Linked DNA regions of Rhinolophus ferrumequinum. The protein of the gene in region 2 purifies or fractionates together with the protein of the main gene of each other region. This does not show direct contact. Links are inferred from orthologs where the notes say so. Each region holds a gene or a part of one and is shown on either strand. Other genes may lie near its edges.

What was found.
Region 1: the proteins of ASF1A (region 2) and IPO4 purify together in Homo sapiens (affinity purification with mass spectrometry; 4 studies listed by BioGRID and IntAct, counting the BioPlex papers as one, with this or other methods). This does not show direct contact. The link is inferred for Rhinolophus ferrumequinum from reciprocal best matches to the Homo sapiens genes ASF1A and IPO4.

The regions. Positions count from the first base shown.
Region 1 is NC_046289.1:74,345,778-74,349,522, reverse strand, and holds the start of IPO4 (importin-4), read left to right. Parts: upstream 1-1,240; 5' UTR 1,241-1,470; coding exon 1,471-1,539; intron 1,540-1,618; coding exon 1,619-1,705; intron 1,706-1,804; coding exon 1,805-1,884; intron 1,885-1,963; coding exon 1,964-2,005; intron 2,006-2,419; coding exon 2,420-2,549; intron 2,550-2,637; coding exon 2,638-2,817; intron 2,818-3,058; coding exon 3,059-3,124; intron 3,125-3,237; coding exon 3,238-3,339; intron 3,340-3,419; coding exon 3,420-3,503; intron 3,504-3,745. Other genes in the region: TM9SF1 (transmembrane 9 superfamily member 1), read left to right, coding at 467-860. UniProt on the Homo sapiens protein: Nuclear transport receptor that mediates nuclear import of proteins, such as histones, RPS3A, TNP2 and VDR. Serves as receptor for nuclear localization signals (NLS) in cargo substrates.
Region 2 is NC_046286.1:69,172,491-69,176,235, forward strand, and holds the start of ASF1A (histone chaperone ASF1A), read left to right. Parts: upstream 1-1,302; 5' UTR 1,303-1,687; coding exon 1,688-1,796; intron 1,797-3,745. UniProt on the Homo sapiens protein: Histone chaperone that facilitates histone deposition and histone exchange and removal during nucleosome assembly and disassembly.

The DNA of each region.
Region 1 (3,745 bases), on a different chromosome or scaffold from region 2:
GTTAAGAGATCACCAAAGGGTTCCCCCTTTATCCAAGCAGGACTGAGCTTGAATCAGTTCAGATATGAGGGTGTCTCACTTGTAAAGCTCTCCAGAGACACTGATCCTTTCTCCATCTTCCTGGTTTCTGAATTTAGGGTCTACAGGTACCATGTTGGGCTTAGTTAAAGCCCATTTGATTCATTCAATTTGTTGAGTACCTCTTAGTGGCAGGCAGGTGATACAATGGAAAATAAAACAGACGAGATCCCCAAACTCAACCTATCAAAAATGTTCTGAAAATGGAAGCAGCTAATCATAGGTAAAAGAATCTTCATTAAGCCAGGAACTCCAGGGCACAGAGTGAAGTGAATCCACTTCCCACAGTGACCCAGTAACATAGAGGGGTGGGGACTGGATTTTGGCCTGGCCCCGTGCTGGCAGTGCACAGCCATTTAATGCTGTGTCTCGTTTCTTCTCTTCACAGTGCCATCTCTGTGGAGCTGTACTACATCTTTGCCACAGTATGGGGTCGGGAGCAGTACACTTTGTATGGCATCCTCTTCTTTGTCTTCGCCATCCTGCTGAGTGTGGGGGCTTGCATCTCCATTGCACTCACCTACTTCCAGTTGTCTGGGGAGGATTATCGGTGGTGGTGGCGATCTGTGCTGAGCGTTGGCTCCACCGGGCTCTTCATCTTCCTCTACTCAGTTTTCTACTATGCCAGGCGCTCCAACATGTCAGGGCCGGTTCAGACGGTGGAGTTCTTTGGCTACTCCTTACTCACTGGTTATGTCTTCTTCCTCATGCTGGGCACCATCTCCTTTTTTTCTTCCCTGAAGTTCATTCGCTATATCTATGTTAACCTCAAGATGGACTGAGTTTTGGGTGGCAAAACTACTGCTCTTCTCTCCCTTTCGTCATGTCCCATTTATCTGTTACCAACATCTCTTCTGATTGACTGAATTGTTGCCTTCCCCTTTGCCCTTCGGGCCTCCCTTCCCCAGAGAGGGCCTGAAAACTATAAATCTCTATTATATAAGAAGTATATATTTGAACTTTTTAAGTTGCTTTTAGTTTTGGTCCTGATTTTTCTTTTTTCAATTATCAAAATAAAATTTATTAAGAAAAAGGATCCTGTAGTTGGAGGGTTTGGTCTGGATATAGGAAGTCGAGCCCTGCGGAGGGCAGTGTGCCTTAGAAAGCCGGGGCGGCCGCGCAATGCACGGAACTCGAGTTCTCCACGGACCTTGGGAACTTGGGAACTCTCGGCTCCAGGAACCTACATCGCCAGGGCGTTGTTTCCGCGGCTCAGCAGCGATCAGCCCAACGGAAGCGGCGAAGCCGGAGCGCTTTGTGCGAAGCTAGTTGAATCACCCTGGCGACGGGAGGGGCGCGGTGCAACGCCCTTTCCGCCGGAAGTGGGTTTCAGAACCTCCACGTGCTGTCCCTCCCCCATCCCGGCCGAGTAGCGTCGGCTCGGCGGCTGCCATGGAGCCCGCCGGCCTGGAGCAGATCTTGCGGGAGCTGCTGCTGCCAGACACCGAGCGCATCCGCCAGGTACGGGGCAGGCGGGGCCGGTCCAGGGCGAGCGGGAGGTTGCGGGAAAGGGCCGACTGTGACCCCAGCCTCCCCCAAGGCCACGGAGCAGCTCCAGATCGCTCTTCGGGACCCCGCCGCTCTGCCTGCGCTCTGCGACTCGCTGGCCTCGGCGGCCGACCCTCAGGTGAGGCTCCTGCCCCTTCCCGCCGAGCTTCCCACAGTATGCCACGGGTCAAGCCGCAGTTCCTGCCCGGACCCTCACGTGCCTGCTTTCTCGTCCCAGATCCGCCAGTTCGCAGCTTTGCTGATCCGCAGACGACTGAGCACCCGCTGGCGACGGCTCGGTGCGGAACACCGGGAGAGGTGGGCAGGGCCAGGGGCGGGGCGGGGCCAGGCTGCGATGGGCAGGCCGAGTACCAAACACCTGCCACCTGTGTTCCAGCCTCAAGTCCCTGGTCTTGACTGCCTTCCAGAGAGAGACAGAGTAAGTGCCTACCCGCCTCTTCTCCGGATCCTTACTGATTCCAGGCTGAGACCCTCTCTCGGTTTCTGCCTTCTCTTTCAGCTCCAGGTTGGCACTTGGGGGGCAGGGACTTCAGTTTTAGACCAAGGGTGGAGCAGGCATTCTAGGCTGTGTTGAAGACTAAAGTTCTTGAGAATGGGTTGTGATGGTATGCCAAAGAATGGAACTGAAACTAAATCTGAGTGAGGTCACGCTCACCAGATTACACACCCACCATGCTGCTCATTTTCCTCTGAGCCTCTGTCTTATGTGTCCCAACTTGGCAAAGCCCCCACCTGGAAGTTTCTTTCTTGACCACGCCATGGAGGCAGTGCCAACATATGCAGGAGAGAGAATTGGAGGGTTGGGGGTCAGGGGAATCTCTCCTGTTTGCAGGCACAATGTGAGCCTTAGCTTGGCCCAGCTCGCAGCCACCATTTTTCGAAAGGAAGGCCTGGCGTCCTGGCCTCAACTCATGCAGCTTCTTCAACACAGTACCCACAGCCCCCACATTCCTGAGAGAGAGGTACTATCACGTGGTTGGTAGAAGGGAGGGACCAAGAGGCTGGATAGACCGTGTAAGGTTTTCCCTCTCATCCCCTACTCCTGGACAGAAGGGGCTTTTGCTGCTAAGTGTCGTGGTGACCTCCCGGCCTGAGGCCTTCCGACCCCACCATCGAGAACTTCTTCGGCTTCTGAATGAGACCCTTGGTGAGGTGGGCTCTCCTGGGCTCCTCTTCTACTCCCTGCGCACTCTCACCACCATGGTCCCTTACCTCGGCGCTGATGACGTGGTAAGATCTCACCTTCCCTGGTGCCCTGTCCTCGGGCCTTCGTGTCCTCACCCTTGCACGATGCAGAACCATTCAGATTCTTTCGTTGCCTTTTGCTCTTCCTAACAATTGAGGGGGGATACTGTGGGTGGCTGTGCCTTGGCTCCTCCGGTGTCCAGGCTTCGAGGAAGCCGCCAGCATCTGGGGCCTGAGACTAGCTGCATCGTGCTTTCTGTGATTCAACTCATCCTGTATCCTCCAGCCTCTTGTGCAGATGTTGGTGCCCAAGCTCATCATGGCCATCCAGACTCTCATCCTTGTAGACGAGGTGAGGACATTTGGGCAGGAGCTCTGTGGGAAGGAGCACAGGACCATCTCCAGCCCGGTCCACTGTAGAAGACCGTGGTAAACCTATGGCTTGTCTTTCTGTTTCTCTGGCAGGCAAAGGCCTGTGAGGCCATGGAGGCCCTGGATGAACTGCTGGAGTCAGAGGTGCCCATCATCACCTCCCACCTCTCTGACGTCCTCACATTTTGCCTGGAGGTGAGCCTGGGTGGGCCCAGCCCCACAGCATGTTCGGGATTTTCCTTGTCTGTCTCTGATTTGCCTTAGTCTCTGTGCAGGTGGCTAGAAACATGGCCCTGAGTGATGCAATACGTGTACGTATTCTCTGCTGCCTCAGTTTTTTGGTCAAAGTCAAGAGCAAGGTGAGTGCCCTCTGAAGCATACTACCCCACCCCCACCTCCACCCCGCGTCTCACTCCTAGGGCTTTTTGACCATCTTGGGGTAGCTAGAGTACCATAGCTAACTAATATGTTTAAGATTTGGTCTGGCCTCAACCCATCTCCTGGCTAGGAGATTGGGAGTCTCCTGCTGGACTCCTTTCTGGCCTGGAAGGCTGGAATTTTTAATGTGAGTCCATCTTGGAAGCAAATTCTCAGGGCACCA
Region 2 (3,745 bases):
TAAATAGTTCTCCTAAAGGTGGGAAGGCCTGGTATTAGCTGTCCCATATTAACTTTCAAGAGACTATCAGATGAAGAAGTCTCATCAAAAGCAACCTACTTAAGTATGAACAATGCCCAAACAATGACAACTCAAAATTCTGGGCACTATACTAAGAGAAAACTCTTCCAGCATAGGTGATACTTAAGAATTTTCTCTCTGAAATTAGCCAACTTAAGTGGTTTCAGTCACAACACTTAAGGAAAAAACGATGGTTTATGAAAAGCAGGTAATAACACAAACCTTTATGCCACTCTTACTTAGAGATTCAAACAGTTCAATCTCACAAATGTGTTAAAAGCTCTCCCTTTCTCCACAATGGTAGTCAAGCAGCATAAATGAATCGACATTGAATAAAGCAAAGGCTCCCAGAAGTTGTGTGAAGTGCTACAAATTCTTATTTACTAACAGTTTAGGTCATACATTTTTTGAAAATTACATGTCTTTGGTATGCCTTTGTGTTCTCTACTCTCCTTTTCCCTTCTCAGATTGTATTTGTTGCTCTTTGGTCGCCCGATACTTCCATTTTCTCCTTTTATGTTCCTGTTACTCACACCAAACGGCAGCAACCAGGGGTGTAACTGATCACATCTCTAGTATAATCTTTTTCTTATTCTAGGACTTTCCAGATAGGAAAGGAAGACCCAGTTGCAGCCCAAATACTATTTATTCCGATTTTCCAAGCAAAGTGTGTGCGCAAAAGCGTCTCTTCGCCTTTCATTTTGTTTCCATTTAACTAATACCGCTGTTGTGCCCAAACGCAGATACCGGGTTAAGAGCTAGCTTTCCAAAATGGCTTTGCTCCTTTCGAGATGGCATTGGTCTACAAAACGCAATTTATTTCCACTGCAACCAACCCTTCTCTCTACCCGAAATATTACCCAACACACAGACAGCTGAACCTAGTGTAGACAACCGAATCACATCTGCTAAATTCAGTAGAGAGCCGGTATAGCCGTTGGACTATTGTAAAAAGAGTGAAAAACACACAAAAAAAACCCCGAGGGGCGGGCGTCACACAAGATCCCGTCCCCCCGCCGCCGTTGCAGCCGCGAGCACGCCTCCCCTCCATGGCCACGCCCCTCGCCGCCACGGCCGTGCCCACGCCCATCGCCAACCCCCGCCCCGCCGCGGCCACGCCCGACGTGAGGCGCGGGAGCCGCCGGGCCGGGGGCGGGGCCTGCACCCTCCCCCCAACCCCCCTCACCCCCCCCGCCGGCGGCGGCCTCCGCGCGGGCCTCCCAACCCATATTCCACTCACTTTGTTCTCTGCCTTTGTCCTAATCCACACCAGCAGGTGGAGCCGCAGTTAAAGTTTCCGAGTCCATTCAGGGAGCGGGAGCCCATCTTGCTCGCCGCCAAGGCCCTCGGTGGAGGAGGAGGGTCAGAGCTCGGGTGCAGCCAATCGCGAGCAACGCTGCTAGTTATCAGAGCAGAATGGGCTGTAGTTTAGTGAAATAGGAAAGCTGCAAAACACTGTGGAGTGTTCCCGTGTAAATAAAAAGAGGAAAAAAAAGTTTCTCAAGTCGCCGCTGCACTACGTCGGGCCGGCGCCGCGGCGGGGGTCTGCGCTCTCCCGGGCGGCCGCGCGCTGGACTTGATTGTGCCGCAACAAGCCCCCGTTCCCATTGTTTGTTTTTTTCAAAATATGGCAAAGGTTCAGGTGAACAATGTAGTGGTGCTGGATAACCCTTCTCCTTTCTACAACCCATTCCAGTTCGAGATCACCTTCGAGTGCATCGAGGACCTGTCTGAAGGTGAGTCGGGCGCCCGCCCGTCGCCGGGCTGTCAGTTGCGGGCTGCAGACGTTGAAAGTTTCCCGGGCCCGGCCTCGCGCGGGCGGCCGGTGCTCGGCGCCGGGCGGGCTGCGGGCTCCGGGCTTGGCTCTGCGGAGGGAAACTTGAAGTTGATGGACGACGGCACCGAGGCGCGCGAGGCGTTCAGCCGCAGCCCGGGCGCCTGCCGCGGCTCAACTTGCTAGGAACTTGTTCCAGCAGAGGTAGCCATGTTGTCAGCTTTGTCTGGTGGACCGGCGGCTCGCGAGACCCGCACTCCCGCCGGCGGAGCCGACCGGGGGTCGCGGCGGGCTGGCCCCGCGCCGCGAACGGCCTCCACGGTCCCCGCGGGAAGGCTGGGAAGGGGTAAGCATGTGTGTGGTCGCGCCGGCGAGTTAGCAGCGGAGCCATCTTACCCAGAGTAAAGAAGTGGGCCACCGACCCCGGCGTCACGACGCCTCCTCTCCGCGGGTGACGAACACGGCGCCCCGCCTGCCCACCTTCCGGCCCCCGAGTGGAAAGGCAAATCCATCTTTAGGGCTTACGCTGGAGTCCCCGCACTCTCTTGGGTGGCCATTCCCGGCCGCTTTGGGGAGGAGAGCGAGGCTGTCTTCGCGCTGATTTCTGGCTCCCTCGACCAACCAGTAGGGGAGGCGGGCGCAGGCTCGGCGCCGCGGGCCGGGCGCCGGCGCTCCCCGGGGGCCGTGGGTGCTCCCTGGCCGGCGCCCGGGATGCCCGGAGCGCCCGGGATGCTCGCGCGCAGGCTCGCCTCGAACAACGTGGACTCCTTTCCTTTAATGACTGAAATCTTCTCTCTCTCTCAGGAACAAAAATACTGTTAAGCTAGAAAGTTACATTTAACCCAAGAGTAGAAATAAGGAAAATACTTAATTACCAGGACTTAATTACTGGCTTCTAAATCTGAAAGAACACTTTCTTCACGAACGTATTGAAATCTAATTAAAATAACTCCACATCCAAACATCCTGAACATAAAACACAAAAGTGGGCTAGGAGATAAAAGGTAAAGTCCTAATGGCAATGCAAAAAATTTTACTATTTTTTCTAAGTATGTTTTAAGGTCTTAAAGAAGATAGTTTTAATATGTGCAGTAATAAATATTTAGAAAAGTAAAATTTGCCAAGGTCTAATCTTTGCGATTTTATTAAAAATAATCCAGTGCTTCATTTTGGAAATTTGAGGGGGAAAACGTTTAACTTCAGTGGTAATTTTACAACTAAATAGAGGACATAACTTCTTTGAACTTAGAAATCTATTTAGCAAAGTTCATTTTAAATTATTGTGCTAATTAAGTCATGTAAGGCATTTCACTATGAAAATTAGTTTTTAATCTGTAAGAAGTATCTTACGTAGGGTGTTAATTTTTTAAATTATAAAAATACGCGCTCATTGAAATAAACTTTTAAAAAGTTGTACACACATATATAAAGTAACAGTCCTCTGTACTCAGTGCCTTCCCCATCTCACTCCTGTATAAGTAACCATAATTAACACTTTAATCTGTGCTCCTCTATAAAGTTTAAATGCGCATATGAAGCACATAGCACATATACTGGGGTGCCAAAAAAATGTATACAATGACTCTGGTCAATATTGCTCAAGCAGTAGTTCCGGTAATCAGAAGTGTCTGGATGCTGATGGTAACCACGTTGAGCACCTCGTAATTGCTGAAGTCCAACGTGACTTGTGTTCACCTTTTGTTATGGGTATACATTATTACAATTTTAATAGTTTTTTTCCTTTCTTAAAATGTGGATACATTTTTTTTGGCACCCTCTGTATATATACCTTGTAGTGCACATTTTGGAAGATGATTCACTTGTTAAAATAATTTCTAAATAGGCCATTGATAATAAAAATTAAAGGGGATTTTTCTTGTTACTCTGAAACCATTTGGTTCCTTTCTACTA